4 linked regions of the Saccharomyces cerevisiae S288C genome follow. Changing the gene in region 1 together with any one later gene gives a genetic interaction. Each region holds a gene or a part of one and is shown on either strand. Other genes may lie near its edges.

What was found.
Region 2: mutations in SNX4 (region 1) and MUP1 together harm fitness more than expected from each alone (negative genetic interaction), as found in Saccharomyces cerevisiae (2 studies listed by BioGRID).
Region 3: of SNX4 (region 1) and SNX3, changing one enhances a phenotype caused by changing the other (phenotypic enhancement), as found in Saccharomyces cerevisiae (2 studies listed by BioGRID, with this or other methods).
Region 4: mutations in SNX4 (region 1) and BSP1 together harm fitness more than expected from each alone (negative genetic interaction), as found in Saccharomyces cerevisiae (2 studies listed by BioGRID).

Annotation. Positions count from the first base shown.
Region 1 is NC_001142.9:376,342-381,134, reverse strand, and holds SNX4 (Snx4p), read right to left. Parts: upstream 2,311-4,793; coding exon 1,039-2,310; downstream 1-1,038. Other genes in the region: TAD2 (tRNA(adenine34) deaminase), read left to right, coding at 134-886; IRC18 (Irc18p), read right to left, coding at 3,799-4,473. UniProt on the Saccharomyces cerevisiae protein: Sorting nexin, involved in the separation or division of vacuoles throughout the entire life cycle of the cells.
Region 2 is NC_001139.9:596,841-602,023, reverse strand, and holds MUP1 (Mup1p), read right to left. Parts: upstream 2,608-5,183; coding exon 883-2,607; downstream 1-882. Other genes in the region: RSC subunit protein RSC1, read right to left, coding at 1-363; YGR054W (translation initiation factor 2A), read right to left, coding at 3,403-5,183. UniProt on the Saccharomyces cerevisiae protein: High affinity permease for methionine.
Region 3 is NC_001147.6:1,008,176-1,012,348, forward strand, and holds SNX3 (Snx3p), read right to left. Parts: upstream 1,538-4,173; coding exon 1,049-1,537; downstream 1-1,048. Other genes in the region: CIR2 (electron-transferring-flavoprotein dehydrogenase), read left to right, coding at 1-941; HAP5 (Hap5p), read left to right, coding at 1,986-2,714; VTS1 (Vts1p), read left to right, coding at 3,014-4,173. UniProt on the Saccharomyces cerevisiae protein: Required for retention of late Golgi membrane proteins. Component of the retrieval machinery that functions by direct interaction with the cytosolic tails of certain TGN membrane proteins during the sorting/budding process at the prevacuolar compartment.
Region 4 is NC_001148.4:881,492-886,712, forward strand, and holds BSP1 (Bsp1p), read left to right. Parts: upstream 1-2,336; coding exon 2,337-4,067; downstream 4,068-5,221. Other genes in the region: YPR170W-B (uncharacterized protein), read left to right, coding at 1,748-1,896, 1,996-2,104; YPR172W (pyridoxal 5'-phosphate synthase), read left to right, coding at 4,305-4,907; AAA family ATPase VPS4, read right to left, coding at 5,033-5,221. UniProt on the Saccharomyces cerevisiae protein: Recruits the capping protein complex to actin patches and the actomyosin contractile ring, and/or stabilizes their interaction. May serve as an adapter to link INP52 and INP53 to the cortical actin cytoskeleton. Binds F-actin.

The sequences.
Region 1 (4,793 bases):
TTCCAGAAGGTTCTATTAAAATAGAAAGTTGCAGCTAACATAGCAAAATTAGATGAATGATGAGTCCTAATGGGATCTACACTTTGCTCGAGAAGCGGCTGGTGGCTGCGGTAAAAACTAGAGGACTCACACTATGCAGCATATTAAACATATGAGGACAGCTGTCCGTTTGGCTAGATACGCTCTTGACCACGATGAGACACCGGTAGCTTGCATCTTTGTACATACGCCAACTGGCCAGGTGATGGCTTATGGCATGAACGATACGAACAAGTCATTAACTGGAGTAGCACATGCTGAGTTCATGGGGATCGATCAGATCAAGGCGATGTTGGGCTCCCGAGGAGTTGTTGACGTGTTCAAAGACATTACTCTATATGTTACTGTAGAACCGTGTATAATGTGTGCATCTGCTCTCAAGCAATTAGACATTGGAAAGGTGGTGTTCGGTTGTGGCAACGAGAGATTTGGAGGCAACGGTACTGTCTTGTCAGTAAATCATGATACGTGTACATTAGTGCCCAAGAACAATAGTGCGGCAGGGTACGAGAGTATACCGGGGATCTTGAGGAAAGAAGCAATAATGCTGCTGAGATACTTTTATGTAAGACAAAATGAAAGGGCGCCAAAGCCACGGTCCAAGAGTGACAGAGTGTTGGATAAAAACACGTTTCCGCCTATGGAATGGTCAAAGTATCTTAATGAAGAAGCATTCATTGAGACTTTTGGTGATGATTACAGGACTTGTTTTGCGAATAAAGTTGACTTGTCCAGTAATAGCGTCGATTGGGATTTGATTGACTCCCACCAAGATAATATAATCCAAGAACTGGAAGAACAATGCAAAATGTTTAAGTTTAATGTACATAAGAAATCTAAGGTTTGACGAAAAAAATCAGAACATCATAAAATAATAGCAACATTTACATATTTTTATATAGATATTTTTCTTTTTTTAAATTTCTCTGTTAAATGTGATCAGATAATCGTAGTGCCCAAGGTATTATCAGTAGTAATGGGAAAACATTAAGAGCACCACTATAGACTATCGTCTACTTTTTCCCATGCTTCAAGTATCCTTTCGTAGAATTCGATATGATGGTCCGCTAGTGAGCCCAGAGATTTCTTGATTTCAGCCGTTTTTACACTTTCGAAATGGTCTATTTCCTTCAAGCATTCCTGTTCGAATCCATCCGCCACCTTTTTAGCGTTTTCTAATTCACCTGTTAATGACGTTATTTTGCCTTCTAGTTTATTGATTTTTTCTCTACGTGAAGCCTCCTGATTTATTCCCGCTAGTTCTTCCAATTTATTGGCAAAGAAATTACTACCTCCGTATCCAGAAATCAAGTTATTTTTTTCTTTGATTGACCTGGTTAAATAATCACTTAGTTCTTCGTAGTCTATCTGTTTCTGGTCTTTCAATTTGATCAGCTGTCGCATACTATCAATGTAGTGTTCAAGATCCTTCAAATCAACAATATATTCGTAATCCAGATACTTTGTAAGATCTTGCAAGCCATATGACAGCTGTGTTACACCTTCATTAAAAATCTTCAACTTCGCAGCAAGTTCCTCGTTTTCGCCTGTGACCAATTCTTGTAATTCCTGTAAATTACTGCCCAACTTTGTATAGTCTTCAGACATCGAATCATTTTTTTTCACAACCTTATGAAAAAGTTTATCTATCTTTGTCACAGTCCGATCTAGTTTATCACTTTTCTCCCTTATCTCAGTGAATTCTTCGTTTTGCTTGTGAACTGTTTTGAAGGCATTCATAAAAGCATCAGTAACTTCATCTTTATTTGGTTGCAAGCTATCCTGGAGGACTTTGCGGTGAGATTCCCAATCTTTACTCACCAAAAAAGTTTTGAAGACTTTTGATTGAGAAAGATCGGGATGCAAAGAGACCCTTCTTAGGAAATTTTGCAAACTATGACATCTCTTTTGTGTAAATCTTTGGCTAAACCTATCGCCTGCTATGTATTGAAAAACTTTCTTATCAGGTAATGGCGGGATGATGCAGGTGGGGAACCTGTTGAGTAAAATATCATGCAGGAGCAATAGGTCACTGTATCTTCTATGTACAACTATAATAGATTCTGGATCGCCACGATTATCATAAAATGACGTGTTGTTAGTCTTTGTTGATATCTGATAACTCACGTAGCCAGATGAAGAGCCTGGGTCACCAGTTCTTTTTTGTGGATCAGAAACAATGATTTCAAACCAATATGGTGGCTTCTCGGGGTTGCCTCTGGCTTTGTCCTTAGCTTTGCTTGTTAAATCGTTCTTGCCTTTGTCTGTCATATCCTCAACAAAAAGAGCAGTATTGTGGTATACCGTAAATAAAGTTTAATAACGGCTTAGCCTACTACCAGAATTTAATCTGTTAATCTTGCGTCGTCACTTCGTTCACGGAAATCCTTGGTGTAATACCTCTCTCAATTCCTTGATACTAAACTATACATCGCTCTTGGGCATTGCCACCCCTTTCAAGCTGGAGGGCGAATACCCGGCAGGACCCTGTGAGCGCGGCATAGATTTTTGAACTGTTATTCTGAACTATAAACAATTAAAGGAGAAAAAATACAATATCTCAGTATTGCATATAGATTTTATAGGGTGTTTGATCGTACGCAAAGGGTGGCTTGCTTATAACAATACCAGGTTATTCTTGTGAATTAAAAAAACAAAAAATTGATTTCGCCCAGGATCGAACTGGGGACGTTCTGCGTGTTAAGCAGATGCCATAACCGACTAGACCACGAAACCTATTAATTTATGAAAGCTTGGGCTTTCAGCAGAAATTAATCGATTGTAAAGTTACCGTATCAAACTTATAATAATAAAGATGTATAAAACGCGAATGAAATAATAGTAACGGGAGAGACAAGATTGAGTATATAATTCAATAATTGCTTGCTTAAATGAAGCAGTTAAACCTGTAAATACCTGAGCAATCGGTTTAGACATGGGACTCCTCGCTTCACCAGATCTTATGTATAATATAGGATAAGTAACGATGTGCGAACAAGCCGACAATAAGTCTGACAACTATTACTCTCCTAACGATAGAATTGCCAAGACATCCGGTATTATTTAAGCCCTTAATACAACAAAAATTAGTAACGTAGTTTATGTCAACTAATTGTCCAAGATTGAAATTTGTTTAGAATAAATCAAGTGTCAGCTTGAGAAACTGACGAATATTAGTAACAAAAGGCACTACTAAATGGATTATATTGGAAGTTCATTCGCACACATCTATTGCCTATTATTACGTGTATATTACCTTATGTGGTACAAAAAGATGATAGATGTGATGAGATGCTGTCTCTGAAATTGAACCAAGTTGAGACGTAAAATTAATAATGTAAAACGAAAAACGAAAAAAATGAATAACATGTATATTGCCGATTCCGCTTAGTAGGTTCCGATAGGCTCGAGAGATCTAGTATGTTCCGTATATCTAATAATAGGACCTTCGTCAACAATGGAAACCCAACAACTGTCAGAAAATTGGCATAATCATCAGTTATTCTAGTAATATTTACTAGTCAGTGGGTGTTAATTGATTTTTATTCCAACGAAAGGGTGGGTATGTTTGAAAGTTTAATTGTTAATTAATACTTCAAAAATGCTTACCCATGGCAGTTACAGAATAGTTAGGTGTAATAAGAAGCAGAAATGCAAATATAAGAATGTCGTTAAAACACTATATATATGTATATATATACAACGATCTGAGATTAAACAATGTACAGGAGTGGCAAAAACAAAATCGGCAACATTTTCCTAAGTCAGAGCTTGGTATATAATGGTGAGCCAAATAAGAAATCCGACGCCTCCAATGCTGGCCGAGACTAAGCATAGACTAGTTGTCACTGTTATACATAAATCAACCACACCTTGTGCCAGACCAGCCTCTATCGTTGTTGCAGCGACTACTCTACTGATCCGTGAGAGCACCTCCTTCTTTTTCTTTTGTTCCTCTGTCAATTCCCCGCCCTTCTTGGCAACCAGATCATACTTATTCAAGAGGCTTTCAAATTTCTTTGTTGAAACGGTCTTGAATTTTTTTATGTACTTGAACGGAGATATATTTACTGCTCGGTTTAGGCCCTTAGTTAGCTTCCCTGTTTCTGTTTCAAATGTGTTATTGCCAACAGTTTCCATTTGGATTTCCCTTGTTAGCATATTCACCTTGTTATTCAATATACCATTTAAACCCTTTAGAATAAAAGAGTGGTTACCATACATATCTTTAACTTCCTCTATTTGTCTCTCGATTCCAGATATTTTTTCATCAACACAGACAGAACTCTGCGAGTAAGCAGCCAAGACCCTTAATGAGTTGACCAGTTTGGTTCCGGTACTTTCGAATTCAACCACTGCTCTACTACTTGCTAATACAACGGTAAGCAAACACAACTGGATCAGAAAAATCCTTTCTATCATTTGTACTTTCATCTTATAGTTTTGTGACTATGGCTGTGATTATGATTTTTATTGGAAAAGCAAAAAAAGTACTGTAGAGACAATTAGAGATATATGACCCATAAAAGAGAAGTTAAATGATCGAAGAGTATACAACTCTATAATGTAATCTGTATTAAAAAAGATTTTCAGAAAGGTTTAATATTGATCTTCATTTGGGAGGAAAACAAGAGATTTACTTCGAGCAATTTTGGAATATAAAAATGATTTACTTTATGTTCGATAGAAAACCCTAGAGTGATTTTGTGTCTCTTCTAAACGCACCCTGTGGTAAAAAATAAAGGAAAAAAATG
Region 2 (5,183 bases), on another chromosome or scaffold:
TGTCACCTCGGGATAATGTTTTCTTATATTGTGCACGATCTTTCCTTTAATAAAAGACTCAAGAAGAATGGCATATTTGTAAATTACTGAATCTTTTGCATTGTATGTCATTGCATTCCAAGGAATTTGCGCAAAATCGTTAACAAAATCTTGTGGCGATGTATAATGGGGCAATCGTTTCTTTAAAGTGTTTAAAGATATCGGATTCCTTATTATAATGTAATAGTCTGGATATTCTTTTTTAGGTGGCAGTACATTGAATATTGGATATATTTCTATACCATTTTCATCCTTTAAATGGAAGACAGCATCGTATTGTGTTTTGAGTAGCTTCTGTAAAAACCCATTATCTTGCTCCACCATGCTTGAAATATAATTTTTTTTATCTCTGTTTTGTAGCTAGGGCACTTCACAGATTTTCCCTTCGCTAATACCACACTGTTCCGCCAACTCAGCTTAATTTCAGTTGTAACTCAATTGGGCCTTTGATTAATAAAAAAAAAAGCTTTCCCGAGACAACAATCACTATTGACGGAAAGAGGGTAAGGGAGCAATAAAGAACTATATAAAACGTTAGACAAACGATTTTATAGAGCGCTTATCTGTGTTTATAGCGTTGCTGATAGATTTAGTTAATTCCAATTTGAATCTATCTCATCAGCAATTCATGATATTGCTTTTTCTTAGTATGCTATTTTGATTTCGCGCAATAGTAGGTATAAAAATTGAAAAAATACGAAACGGAATAGCATCTTAAACTATTAAATGGCAGAAATTATAATGAGGTTTGGTACCTATATATTTTGTATAAAGAAAATGCAATTATAAGAATGTTCATACGTGATTATAAGAATCGAGATGAGATGGTAAGTACCTTTTTGGTTACAGCGATTTTTCTTGTTCACTTTTGTAATGTTCGATTATATTCGTTTCAATAACGCCGTCTTCTTGTGTATCGACATCGCCAATAGTGTCATCATAAACTTTGGCAATTTTGACTCTCCAGAACCCATCTTCACCAAGCACATCCTTGGAAACCAATTTGTAGTGGCCCCATCTTGGCAATAATTGGGCCCAAACAACGTAGTAAACACCACCAAAGAAGAAAATACCCCAAGCAATTACACAGTGGATCCAGTATGGCATGCTTGAATACACCGACTCGCCATTTGAAGGTGGAACGTAAGGAGCAATAATCAGGTATAAATTGGATAATGTGAAAAATCCCGTAACAAAAACACCGGCCTTAATTGGTGGGTTCCATTCAATTTTACCTTGTCTACGTTGCCAGTATATCCAAAGCAAACCCGCGCTAATGGCAAAATTAATAATATTCATTGGGTAGGAAATTAAATTTTGGACTAGCAAATATGCATCACCTGGAGGTGGGGCTAAAATGGTTACTGTACAAACAATAAAATGTTGAAACAAACCAACCATTGGGGAGTTGAATGGCTTAGAAGAGGCAAAGAAATTAGAAAAGGGCAACACACCTTCACGTCCTAGTTGTTGAATAATTCTACCCTGAGAAAAAATGACAGAAAGAACATTTCCTAAGGCACTCAACCCGACCAGTGCGGCTGCTGCTCTCTTGGCTTGGCCGCCAAACACAATATCGAAGAAGTCAGCAGCTAAAATCAATTTTGAAGAAATTAACTTATCTTTTGGAACCACAGCGAAGTAAGCAATGTTCACAAAAATGTAGATTATAGCCAAGAAGACCATCGATGTAGGACCAGCAATCTTCAAAGTTCTCACAGGGTTCTTAACTTCACCAAGTGCATAGTTAACATTGGAGTAACCGACAAACGACCAAATAACACTATATAAGGCGTTAACAATACCATAAGCAGTGGCGGTTTCAGTACCTTCAAAAGCATTACGAAAGTTGTGAGATTGATAACCATCTTTGAGACCACCGCCAAGGGCAACCCAACCGGTAATAGAAATGAAGAGGACAATACCAATCTTGAAAATACCTAAAATGTTTTGCAAATATAGACCAATCTTGACATTCAGAGAATTAATTAGGAATGCAAAAAAAACGACGGCCACACCAATACCTCTTTGATTCCATTTGGTCACTTCAGTATCAGCAGCAGTTAAAAACATAATAGCTGTATTGATGGAATTACCAGCAGCCCAACCTAGGAAGAAAATATACGCAGCATACATACAGGTAATGAAGAATTTTGGTTTCCTGAAAATAGCCTCCAGGTAGTTTTTTTCACCACCATTTTTCGGTATAGCCGTACCGAATTCCATGTATACATATAACCCAGAAATGGCAATAATGGCGCCAACTGCCCACATAATTAATGCAAGCCCCACAGACCCACATAGTGTGTAAATGGTCGAGGAAACGGCGAAAACACCGGTACCAAGCATTCTATTACAGATAAGCCCAATACACGACAAAATACCTAACTGCTTTTCACCTTGGTCCAATTCTGTAGCAAATTGCTGGCCTGCCTCAAAATCGGAGGCACCGTTGTCAGCATCCACTGTCGAGTTACTTACTTCCTTTTTTGTAGTAGAAGAAGAAAATTGATAGTTCTCCTTGTTGAAGACATTCAACTGTGACAGAAACGTTCTTCCTTCCGACATTGCTCCGCCTTTGTTTTCTCTTCTCTTGTCTTTAAAGATTTCTACAGAATGTGAAACTAATCCAAAAACAAAATATGATGAACAGCGGAAAAGTTTGTGTGAGAATCATCCTTATATATATATACTGTATGTAATCTTACATCACCATATGAAAATAACGGGCTGACTCAAGAAATTCACCGCCAAGTAGGAGGAACCACATTTGTAATGCAAGACTGTGTTATGTGTTACCATGGTGTGCAATAACTGCGAAGGTAGCACCGCTTGAGTCAACTGTGGCAGTTTATTAGATGCCACTCGAGTGTGGTGAACGGCAATTCCACAGTCTAACTTTTCAGTTGGCGCCGTGCCATCTCCTGGCTGCTAGGCCGATCTGTTATACAAAACCCTACACGGCGCCGTTTCTTTTTTTTTTTTCTTTTTCTGTGGCAAAGCGGCGACAGCGACGCTAAAAAAAACTGTGGTGGCGGATGCAGCGCCGGCTTACGGAGCCGAAGTGACACTCCATATTCATTTATTGCCTGGCGGTATCGTGGCATACATTGTAAGATGCGGCTGGTGGCAATCCGCCAAGAAGAGACGTAAAAATAAGGAAAATGCTCACTAATTATGTATGTATCAATTACTATTTGATGTTAAAAAAATATGTGGAAAAGTACAATAAAACAAGGGAAAAAAAGAAAGGGGGGAGGTTGGCGTAATTCTCCTGGGAAACAGTAAAAAACAATTCAAAGTAGTATTATTTGACGTTGTTAATATTTACACAGTTGTATGGATACATCAGTTTCTTCTAGTTTATTCATCCTTCCAACCCAACTTTTCCAAATCTTTCAACACTTTTTCTTCAGTTTGAATTTTTAGAACTTGCGTATCTTCTAGTTTGTCACCGACGGCCTGTCTTTCCTTCAAGGTTTCAATAGCCCTTAATTTCTTTAGTAAAGATCTTATTTTCTTCTCCTCTGGAGAAGTTTCTTTATTGTTTGTGGGGGCATTTGTGGAGGCAGGAGCAGATGGGGCCGGAGTAGAATCAGGTGACGTTTCACTTGACTTTTTATTGGCTCTTCTTCTCCTGTTCTTGGTGTTGGCGTCCTTGTTGGCACTCATGCCCGGAACTAGCCCTGGGATGGTCTTCTTTGCTGCACCAGGAGGAACTCCGGGGACAATACGTCCACCGCCTGTTCTTCTTGCGTGAGGTGGTTTATAAGCGCCTCCAGCTTTGGCCTTAGATCCGTTTCCATTGGAGCTTGCTTCTCTGCTTGGGTGTTGACTTATGTACTCTTGAACGCTAGAATGTATTTGCAATTCTGATTTATTGGATATTTTAGGATCAAGTGAAGATGTGGTCGAATCAGGTAGCGGTTCCCAGTTATTAATGATATGGTTCTCGAAAAATGCTTCGTCTTTGTTTTCCAAAGTTTTGTAATTACATGGTGACCTCCAGTCTACCTTCAAAAGCTCCTTGAACTCTTTAACAAATACTAAAGAGCCTGATACATGCCATATTTTAACGCCGTTATCCACTCTCAATCTTGGTGAAGTGGTAGCTGTCATGATAAATTCTCCACCCGGTGACCATTTGCAGACAGAAGTGTTGGTAGCGTCAAATTTACTCACACACTTGAATTTGTCGAGACGATCTAGGATTTCCACGGAGCCCTGTAAATTACCAAACCCGGCGATAAGAATGTAATGACCAGAGGGAGAGAAAAGCATGGTATTTTTGGCTTGTTGAGGTAATGAATGGACAACATTACCTCTTAAGTCAAAAAAGGAAATGGTTGCTGGCATGTAACCAGCGATGACACCGAATTGCCTTGAAGTTGGCGACCAAGTGAAATCGTGGACAGGTCCAGTGGTTAAAGAAACACGTACAGAGTTACCACCCAAAGTCCCGTTGACACCTTGGAAAGACAGTAAGTATAGTGTGTTTTCACCATAATATGATTTGTTTGAGGAATCAAAATCAGTAATAGCTAAACATAAAATAGCATTACCTAATGGATTCCATTTCAATTGGCAGGAATCAGCTTTAAAGAAAGTTTTGGAGGCAATTTTCTTGGTGATTTTACCTTCAGAGAGGGCCCATATGATTAATTGAGCCGGTTTACCACCCTTTTCTGGTGTGAAAGTACAAATTGTTGGATGTTCAGCTGGAGAGATTAGGTAGGTGGTGAAATGTTGGGACGTTTCATCATCAGACAAGACAGCAAACGGAGATTGGAAGTCGAAATTGTCGGCATTAGCGGAGCTTAATTTAACAATCTTCAAGTCGTGTTTAAAAAGTCTTAGCCCATAATTGTCTAATTTGGAGAATTGTAAAAACCAACCGCTTTGGGATTTGGCTTGATATTCGTAAGCAGGGACTATATCCTCCGAAACGCAATCTTTCTTAAATGGTTTATTCAAATACCAAACTTTAACGTTCTTGTGATTTGGGTCTTGTATAGACGCTCTCTCCCAAGTGCTTAAGTAGTTACCTGCTGGAGAGAAGTGTAGGTCATAGACGTCGGACAACTTCATTGTTAATAGAACGTTATCCAAACATGGACCTGTAAAAACTTTGACGTTCTCCTTCG
Region 3 (4,173 bases), on another chromosome or scaffold:
GCCTTGTCGTGGGGTTAGATTATAAGAATCCCTATGTTTCACCTTACAAAGAGTTTCAAAAGATGAAACATCATCCATACTATTCAAAAGTTTTAGAAGGAGGTAAGTGTATCGCTTATGCTGCAAGAGCATTGAATGAAGGTGGACTGCAATCTGTACCCAAGTTGAATTTCCCTGGTGGTGTTTTGGTAGGGGCTAGCGCGGGTTTCATGAACGTTCCAAAGATCAAGGGTACTCATACTGCGATGAAGAGTGGATTACTTGCCGCTGAAAGTATCTTTGAGTCCATAAAAGGGTTACCTGTCTTAGAAGAGGTTGAAGACGAAGACGCCAAAATGGCTATGTTTGATAAGGAGGCAACTATTAACTTGGAATCATATGAAAGTGCATTCAAAGAATCATCGATATATAAGGAACTATACGAAGTGCGTAATATTAGACCGTCCTTCAGCGGGAAACTTGGTGGATATGGTGGTATGATCTACTCTGGAATCGATTCTTTGATATTGAAGGGAAAAGTTCCGTGGACACTGAAATTTGATGAAAAAAATGACGGTGAAATTTTGGAACCTGCTTCCAAGTACAAACCGATAGAATACCCCAAGCCTGATGGTGTGATATCCTTTGATATATTGACCTCCGTGTCTAGAACCGGAACCTACCATGATGATGATGAACCATGTCACTTGAGGGTTCCTGGACAAGATATGGTAAAGTACGCCGAGAGAAGCTTTCCCGTTTGGAAAGGTGTTGAATCGAGGTTCTGCCCAGCAGGTGTCTACGAATTCGTCAAAGATGAAAAATCGCCTGTGGGTACGAGACTGCAAATCAATTCACAAAATTGTATCCATTGCAAGACCTGTGATATTAAGGCGCCCAGACAAGATATTACTTGGAAAGTACCCGAAGGTGGAGATGGACCAAAGTACACGCTAACTTAATCACAGGATTCATTATTTATTTAATTATTTTATTCATTATTTATTTAAATTTTTCTATTCATTCTTTTATATAATCTATATTATTTATTCACGTAAAAGAGTTCTTTTCAGCCGACAAACTTTTCAGCTTCAATGAACCTCACGAGAACTTTAGAACCAGATTGTAAAAGCGGGTGCCCGGCTACCGATTGCATCCAGGTATTCAAACCTTGTCTCCTCTCTTCAATGACTTCGTTACTAAATCTATTACTCAAGAGAATTTTACCCGGTAAATGAGGTACCATGACTTTTGGGTGATTAAGCATAGAAATTTCCTTGATCAAGCATTTGCGGAAGAATTCAAAGTCTGAGTATCGTCTCCTTACTTTCGATACCCTCTTGTGAAAACTTGGCAAGTTTGTACGGCATATTATTTCGTAATCTGTAAACATCCCCTTCGAATCCATCCCATTTGGTATATGAGTTTTAGGGTTGTGCACCTCAATCTCTAAAAAGTTCTCAGGCTCAGCGTATATTTCGCTGTAACTAGGCTCTCCATGTCCTTTTGACAGCAAAGACTTTTCTGTAGACCCAAAGGATTTGAATTCTCTTGGCATACTTTGTGTAGATGCGTACCGCTTCTCAGCTGTTCTTGCCGTCCTCTTTTATGCAGTATTAAGATCCGTTTTAATCCATTCATTCATTGCAGGTTTACATATCAATACATATCACTTAGTACGTGATAGTGCCCAAAGCTATCCTCGAGTTCACTTATGCAATTCTGAGCACCCCATAGCCAAGTCCTCATAGTAAATCATGGTCCCTCCTAGCGCAATACTTACTAGAGTGTAGAAATCCCGAAATGTCAAAATCGAAGAGTGTTGTGCTCCCTTTTCCGTAGTTAAACTTAAATTTGCGTGGGACGGCTCCCTTAAGATTGCTTCCGGAGATTAAGCTTCCTTAGCTGCTATAATACCGCGTAAGCAAAGAAGAAGAATAGAGGGGAATAGGAGATAATGTAAGAGTTGTGACGCATTTGCAGCATCAGGATTGTTTACTCGCATAATGACTGATAGGAATTTCTCACCACAACAAGGACAAGGACCTCAAGAATCGCTCCCGGAGGGACCGCAACCCAGTACGATGATTCAGAGAGAGGAAATGAATATGCCAAGGCAATATTCAGAACAGCAACAACTGCAAGAAAACGAAGGGGAAGGGGAAAATACGAGGCTACCTGTTTCTGAGGAAGAGTTCCGGATGGTACAGGAGTTGCAAGCTATCCAGGCGGGCCATGACCAAGCTAATCTACCGCCAAGTGGTCGAGGATCGCTTGAAGGCGAAGATAATGGAAACAGCGACGGCGCAGACGGAGAAATGGACGAGGACGATGAAGAGTATGATGTGTTTAGGAACGTTGGTCAGGGATTGGTGGGCCACTACAAGGAGATAATGATCCGTTATTGGCAAGAATTAATCAACGAGATCGAGTCTACGAATGAACCTGGTTCCGAGCATCAAGATGACTTCAAATCACATTCCTTACCATTTGCGAGAATCCGCAAGGTCATGAAGACGGATGAAGATGTCAAGATGATTAGTGCAGAGGCCCCCATCATTTTCGCCAAAGCCTGTGAGATCTTTATTACAGAACTGACTATGAGAGCTTGGTGCGTGGCAGAAAGGAATAAAAGACGAACTTTGCAGAAGGCAGATATCGCAGAGGCCCTGCAAAAGAGTGACATGTTTGACTTTCTCATCGATGTTGTGCCTAGAAGACCTCTTCCACAATGAGAGAGTTAATGGTTATACAGCTGCCATTTGACCGTGCACCACAGCAAATTATCTGTTGGAAAAAGAAAAAACGCAAATTTTTTTCATTATTTTTTTCCAGAATAAGTTTGGTAGCAAATTGGCGATGAGATATCTAACAACGACTACTACTACTACCATAGGATTGTCTCGAATACATTGTGTTTTGCAGTCACACTGGTACTTCGTCCCTTGGGCAATCTAGATCACTGTATATACTATAGATATTGTTTTCAGAAGAGAAAAACTGTTCATATAAAGTAATTGTCAGCAAAGAAATCATGAAACATCCGTATGAGGAATTCCCCACAGGTTCCAAGTCACCATATAACATGTCTAGAGGAGCTCATCCAGGCGCCGTTTTGCTATCACCACAATCTTCTGCCATAAACAAGAACAATCCGGGCAGCAATTCTGGCAATAACCAGGGCAATTCATCCGTGACCGCGAATGTTTTGTCCCCTCAATCCCATAGTATGTCACTCAATGACATGCTTGATCAGCAATCCTTTATGCTAGACACTGCGGGAACCAGGGCTCAGCCGCTCCAGCAACAACAGCAGCAGCAACAACAGCAACAGCAGGCGTCGTTGCCTTCCCTTAATATTCAAACAGTTTCGTCTACAGCAGCTGGTTCTGCTATCGTTTCCCCCATGATGCAATCTCCAAAGGCGTTGCAATCTACTTTATCTTCAACATCTATGTATTTGGATTCATTTCAGAGATCTCCAAATAATATTTTGGGTATTCCATCGCAGAGTGGTTCAATTCCTTTGCCGCAATCCCGTCAATCGCAACAACAGTCTCAATCCCAAAAAAACGATCCGAACATGGGCACCAATTTCAGCCAAGACATCAACCAATTATGTTCTTGGATATCCATGCTGAACAGCAGCCAACAAAATACTGTAATGGACAATATCCTTTCCATTTTGAATGATGATGTTTTGAAATATACTAAGTTAAAAATAGAGACTTTGACAAACACTCCCTTCATCTCCCCACCGCTACCTGCAATTGCATCACCTATACCTAATAGGGATGACACACAAATTTTGAATATTGATTCAGTCTTTTCTTCAAGTCCTATAACTAATGACCCTGAAAATACCGATAACTTGTTGTATCAAAATTGGTCCCCTCAGCCACATTCAATACCAATTAGCCAACCCATATATGACAACATCACCGACGCTAGTCAAAGGTCCAAGTCGGCTGAGCCTCATGTTAATTCAAGCCCAAATCTCATTCCTGTCCAGAAACAATTCAACAACGGTAACAGTACCAAATATAAAAAGTTGCCATCAGAGAATCCCAACTATCTTTCTCACTCTCTCTCAAGTTCCCATTCTTTTTTCCAACCAAAGAAAAGGTCTAACATGGGAAATGAGTACAATTCTCATCACCATCATTCATTGCATCATCCTCTGCATAATACCAC
Region 4 (5,221 bases), on another chromosome or scaffold:
ATAATTAATGGCAAAAAGGCAGTATTAATGAAGGTTGAATATGGATCTTAATATAATCGTATAAGAGGGGCATAAAATATACGCCGATTGGTTCAACATTAATTATGATCAATATAACAATGCGTCTGGTAATTACCATAACACTTAATGTAGCAACTCGTATAACAAACGTATCATGCTCAATTAATATAACCTTATCTCTGCTTCAGCACTGTCTGAGCTACTCTTTTAACGTTTCCTTTTGCAATAGGTACCTTCACACTAAAACATATACAATGGGTGCATTTAAATTGTTACCATAGCAACTCATATTACGATTCATTACCACTCATTTCAACACAACAACCTCTTGCTATCAAACTTACTTTTGCTTTTATTGCAGATATCTCGTTATTTCTGCAAAAACAGCATTCATTGGTAATGACAAGGTCAATTTTGGCTTTTATACATTTCACATGTACAGGATAGTGGAACACATTCCAAGGAGGTGAAGAACGTCCCCTTTGATACTTCCATACAAGGACGATTAAAAATACATAAGAGAACAGATCTGCAAAAATGCGTTTTACTTCCTTTACAATCTCAATGCCGATAAATAAGCGCAATGAAGATTACTCAGCAACTGTATGTTGGCTCATGCGAAATATGAATGTTTCATTCGAGATTACTTATCTTGTTTAACGCTTGAACAGCGTACTGTAACTTCTTGCTACAGAATGATGGACCCCATTATAATACTACCGCCTTGCGAATGCGCAATTTATTATGATCATGAACCCTGAGAAATCAAATGAATATTTAAAGTGTATGCAAAATGGACAAGAACATTATGGTAACATTGTCTACGACAGAATTTATTTTCTGACTTTAATAGTGACGGTTATACGAAATTAATGATTCTTCGAGAGGCAACTCACTTTACTGCAAATGGACCTGCAGAGTTTGCATCTAGAGGACAATATGCTGCACAAAAACGACCAATATTTACCTTCAACGAAAACAACCTTAAGAAACCCCTTCAACAACAACGCAGCTATCGTATCGTAGTGGTCTCCATAATGCGTGCACCTCCTTTAGCACTTATCGAGTAATAACATACGCTAGATAAGTAAAGTGTCCAGGATATTATAATTATATGATATTTCGGGAATGGTTTCTATATCTAGTTTTTTAACTTAGCCTAGACATTCGCCTCGTATTATAAAATACATGAAAGTGACTTGACTGCTTCATGAGAGTTATACTAAGAGCATTCATAACTAGAAGACACATTTTAGTTTTTATTACTGAGTAAGGGTTTAGTTTGTACATACAAGGCAACATGAAATTCAAGGTGCTGATGTTCAGTAAAGCCGCCTAGCTTTACGTGCCGAAATATTGATAATATGTCTCAGCCACTTCCTGGCTTAACTATTTAAATGATATTTCTGCATCCATCGGTATGGCGCACAATAAACGGTATCTGAGAATATCGAAAAGAACACCACAATACTACTGAGTGCAAACACAGAAGAGCGTAGGTGATTCAACTAATTGAGTTAGAAACTGCATCAACGCTGCATAATAAAGATGCTGCTGTTCAGGATCATTTTTTTTAAAGACTGAAAAAAATTGCTTATCGCTTTGCACGCGACTCTTTTTTCTATTATTTGAAAAATAGCTTAAGGGAAAAGAAAAGAATAGGTAGCTTTCAAAGCAAGAACCTCTACGATAAAGGACAAAGCTAGAAGCAAACACCGCAAAAAAAATGAGACCCGTTGTATCCACTGGTAAGGCATGGTGTTGTACCGTCCTATCGGCATTTGGTGTAGTAATTCTTTCCGTCATTGCTCATCTCTTCAACACAAACCATGAATCCTTTGTAGGATCAATAAACGATCCTGAAGATGGACCTGCGTATGTTATATTTTCTTATTTATTTCGCCGTTACCCATTTACCATCTCTTATATCTCTCCTCCTTACTAACAATTATATTTTAACCCTATTGTTTATAGTGTTGCACATACTGTTTATTTGGCTGCCTTGGTATACCTCGTGTTTTTCGTATTCTGTGGGTTCCAAGTTTACCTAGCCAGAAGAAAACCTTCGATCGAGTTGCGTTAGTCTTGAAGCCAATAGGATAATACCAAATGCATTAATATCGTCCAACTGTTCTATATACTTATCGTAACCTCGTTCCATGTGACATTCTTTTTTATTACACTTTTCGACAATAGCGAATTGAGTGAAATATTATGAAAGAATATATAGTATAAATATATACATTTATATATGAATTCTAATCAATAAAAGTCACAGTAACCAGCTTTTCCTAGCTTTTCGAAGTTTCGGAAGTATGACAAAATATGAGCGTGACCCTGAATTGGTGAACTTTCTATCGAAAGTGGAGGATTTGAACTCTAAGAGATACAGTAATATTCCTAGTTCAAAACCAGCGGGGGAAGCGCTTTCACCAGTTAGAAGTCACAACTCTGGGGAATACAGAAGGGCTGATATGATGACAGGGAAAAATGTGGAAGGTTGCGACAATTTGGCCTACCGATCTGCGTACAATTATGAAATGACGTTTTCTCCAAAGAAGACTCATTACTCATTAAGTGAGCTGAATCTCGAACGAATAACGCCAAGGCCGGATTTGGAGGGAAGTGCCTCTCAAAAAGAAAAAAAATTTTTAATTTCTGAAGAAGATTATTTATTATTGCAGAAATTGAAAGCCTCTCAAACATATAATGATTCCAATGCTGACAAAAATTTGCCTTCCTTTGAAAAAGGTCCTCGTATGCCCAGTCGGGGTCGACCCAGACCGAGAGAGAAGGAAATAATCACCATCCAATATGATTTTGAATTACCAGGAAGAGCCGATATACCCTCCTCCTCCTCTTCTTCATCACCACCGCCTTTGCCCACAAGGCGTGATCATATCAAAATCACAGATGGGAATGAAGAGAAACCGCTTCTTCCAACAAGGCCTAACAAAGCAGAAGTTACAGAAAGTCCGTCATCAAGGTCAATAAAACCGGATGCTGTGGTACCTGAGCGCGTTAAGCCTGCTCCACCTGTCTCACGCTCTACAAAACCGGCGAGCTTTTTAAGTTCTTTGGAAGATAACAAATTGACAAAGGCGAAGAGTTATAATTCGGAAATGGAAACTCCCAAAACAACTGTAAAAAGTTCTCATATCGATTACTTGGATTCCATACAACTAAAACCAACCACCTTATCTCCTACAATGAAAAATAAACCTAAACCAACCCCTCCTTCTCCACCTGCGAAAAGAATTCCAAGATCTGAAAGTTTTATCAAGTCTATGCTAAACTCGAATCTCACGACAACTTCCAAGCCTTCTTTGCCTGAAAAACCTCAAAAGCTACGGAATGCAAATTTGGCCGCCCATAAGACCAAACCAAGCATACCGCCAAAGAAAGTGGAGTTGAATATAGTATTACCTGAGCTACGTCCCGTAGAAACTTCTCCAACAAAGCAGAACTTCGAAAACTCAATCGATTTGCCCAAGTTACGATCCAGCAACCGTAACATTAAAAAAGAAGAGGAGGACAGTATTCCAGAAGCAATAAAAGGTATACAAAATCTGAAGAAAACCAAACAGCAGAAGCCTGCAATCCCTCAGAAAAAATCATTTCTAACAAATAATTCGAAAAATACTACACTCAAAAATGGTGATGATATTAACAAGTTAAATGACGAAATTGAAGCTCTATCATTGCGGAATAACCTGAAGAAACGGCCACCAACGGCGCCACAACGTAAAATTTCTTTGCCAGAGGCATTGCGAAAAGTCGAATTGATGAAAAAATCTAAAACCGAGCCTGTTTTAGAGTCCTCAAACGAACTGAGCATAAACGCAAAATTAGACGCAATAATTGCCTCTAGAAACTTAAGAGCATCTAATACTCTACCAGAACTTAGCGGTGTTAACACTAATATTGCAACTTCTGACAAGTATACTACTTCTAGAGATGAAACAGTGAAGGAAACTAAACCATTAGTTCACCCGAATAAAAATAGGACTCGTGGTCCCAGAAGAAAACTTCCAACACGCGTGTAACTACAGAGTAGACCTCCGTATTTTACACATGTATGTACGTACATATGATGTAACAATAATATGATAATTTAATGGGATACATGTATTATCGTCACTTCCCACGTTTGCGCTTTGACATTTGCTCCCCTTATGAACCTGAAGGAATATAAATCATCGATCTTTTTGCTACACTTTTCCTCCCTTATTAGAAAATAGCAGTAAAATTACAGGCTATTCAAACCCTGAAACATCTCAATTATGGCTTGGACTAGTACATTACCAGCGCATCTACTGAACCTGATCAAAAACTCCAAATATGTTCACGTGGCCACCTGTTCTAAAGACTGCATCCCTTCAGTGGCATTGATGAACTATATCTATGTGCCAGGTGAAAAACTGTTCGGTCAAACAGATAATAAGAATGACTACATTATATTTGTTTCTCCTCAGGACACACAAAAGTTTTACAACATCAAGGAGAACCCTAAGGTCGCCCTGTTGTTTCACGATTGGATCATCGCGAATAATTTGTCAGTGGGCAAGGAAAGCATCTCTGGGACTCCGACGCCGACTTCTATTCCTCATGAAGAGCAACGTCAAAGCGAGCTTTTAAATTTGTTACAGGAGTTAAATCAAGCCGAATTGAACCAAATGAGCGCATCTATTGGTGGCGAAACCGAAATTGTCAATCCTGAAAGTGAAGAATCCAAGTACTATAAAGATTTAATACTAAAGGCTAATCCTGATGCGAAAGCTTTTATATTTGAAAAGAACACCGCCGTTGTTAAAGTTAGAATTGATAATGCTAGGGTATCCAATAATGAGAACAGAACAATGTTTCTAAGTAAAGGGAAGAGTTAACTGTCCTCTGCTTTTCTTTATCTATTTTGCATACGATTCTGTATTTAATTATTCTGTTTTTTTTTTTTTTTTATTTTTTATTTTCATGTACACAAGAAATCTACATTAGCACGTTAATCAATTGACTAGTTACCTTCTTGACCAAAATCTCTAGTGAACTGTTCTTGCTTCAGCAAGTCATCCTCATTCACGGTAGGTCTCGTCGATTTGATAGCCTTTAAGAAATCCTTTATGGTGAGATCTGGTTCTTTTAATTCATCAGCTTCAATATCCGTCCAACTCATCTCGATGGCGCCATCATCACCTGGAGAGCA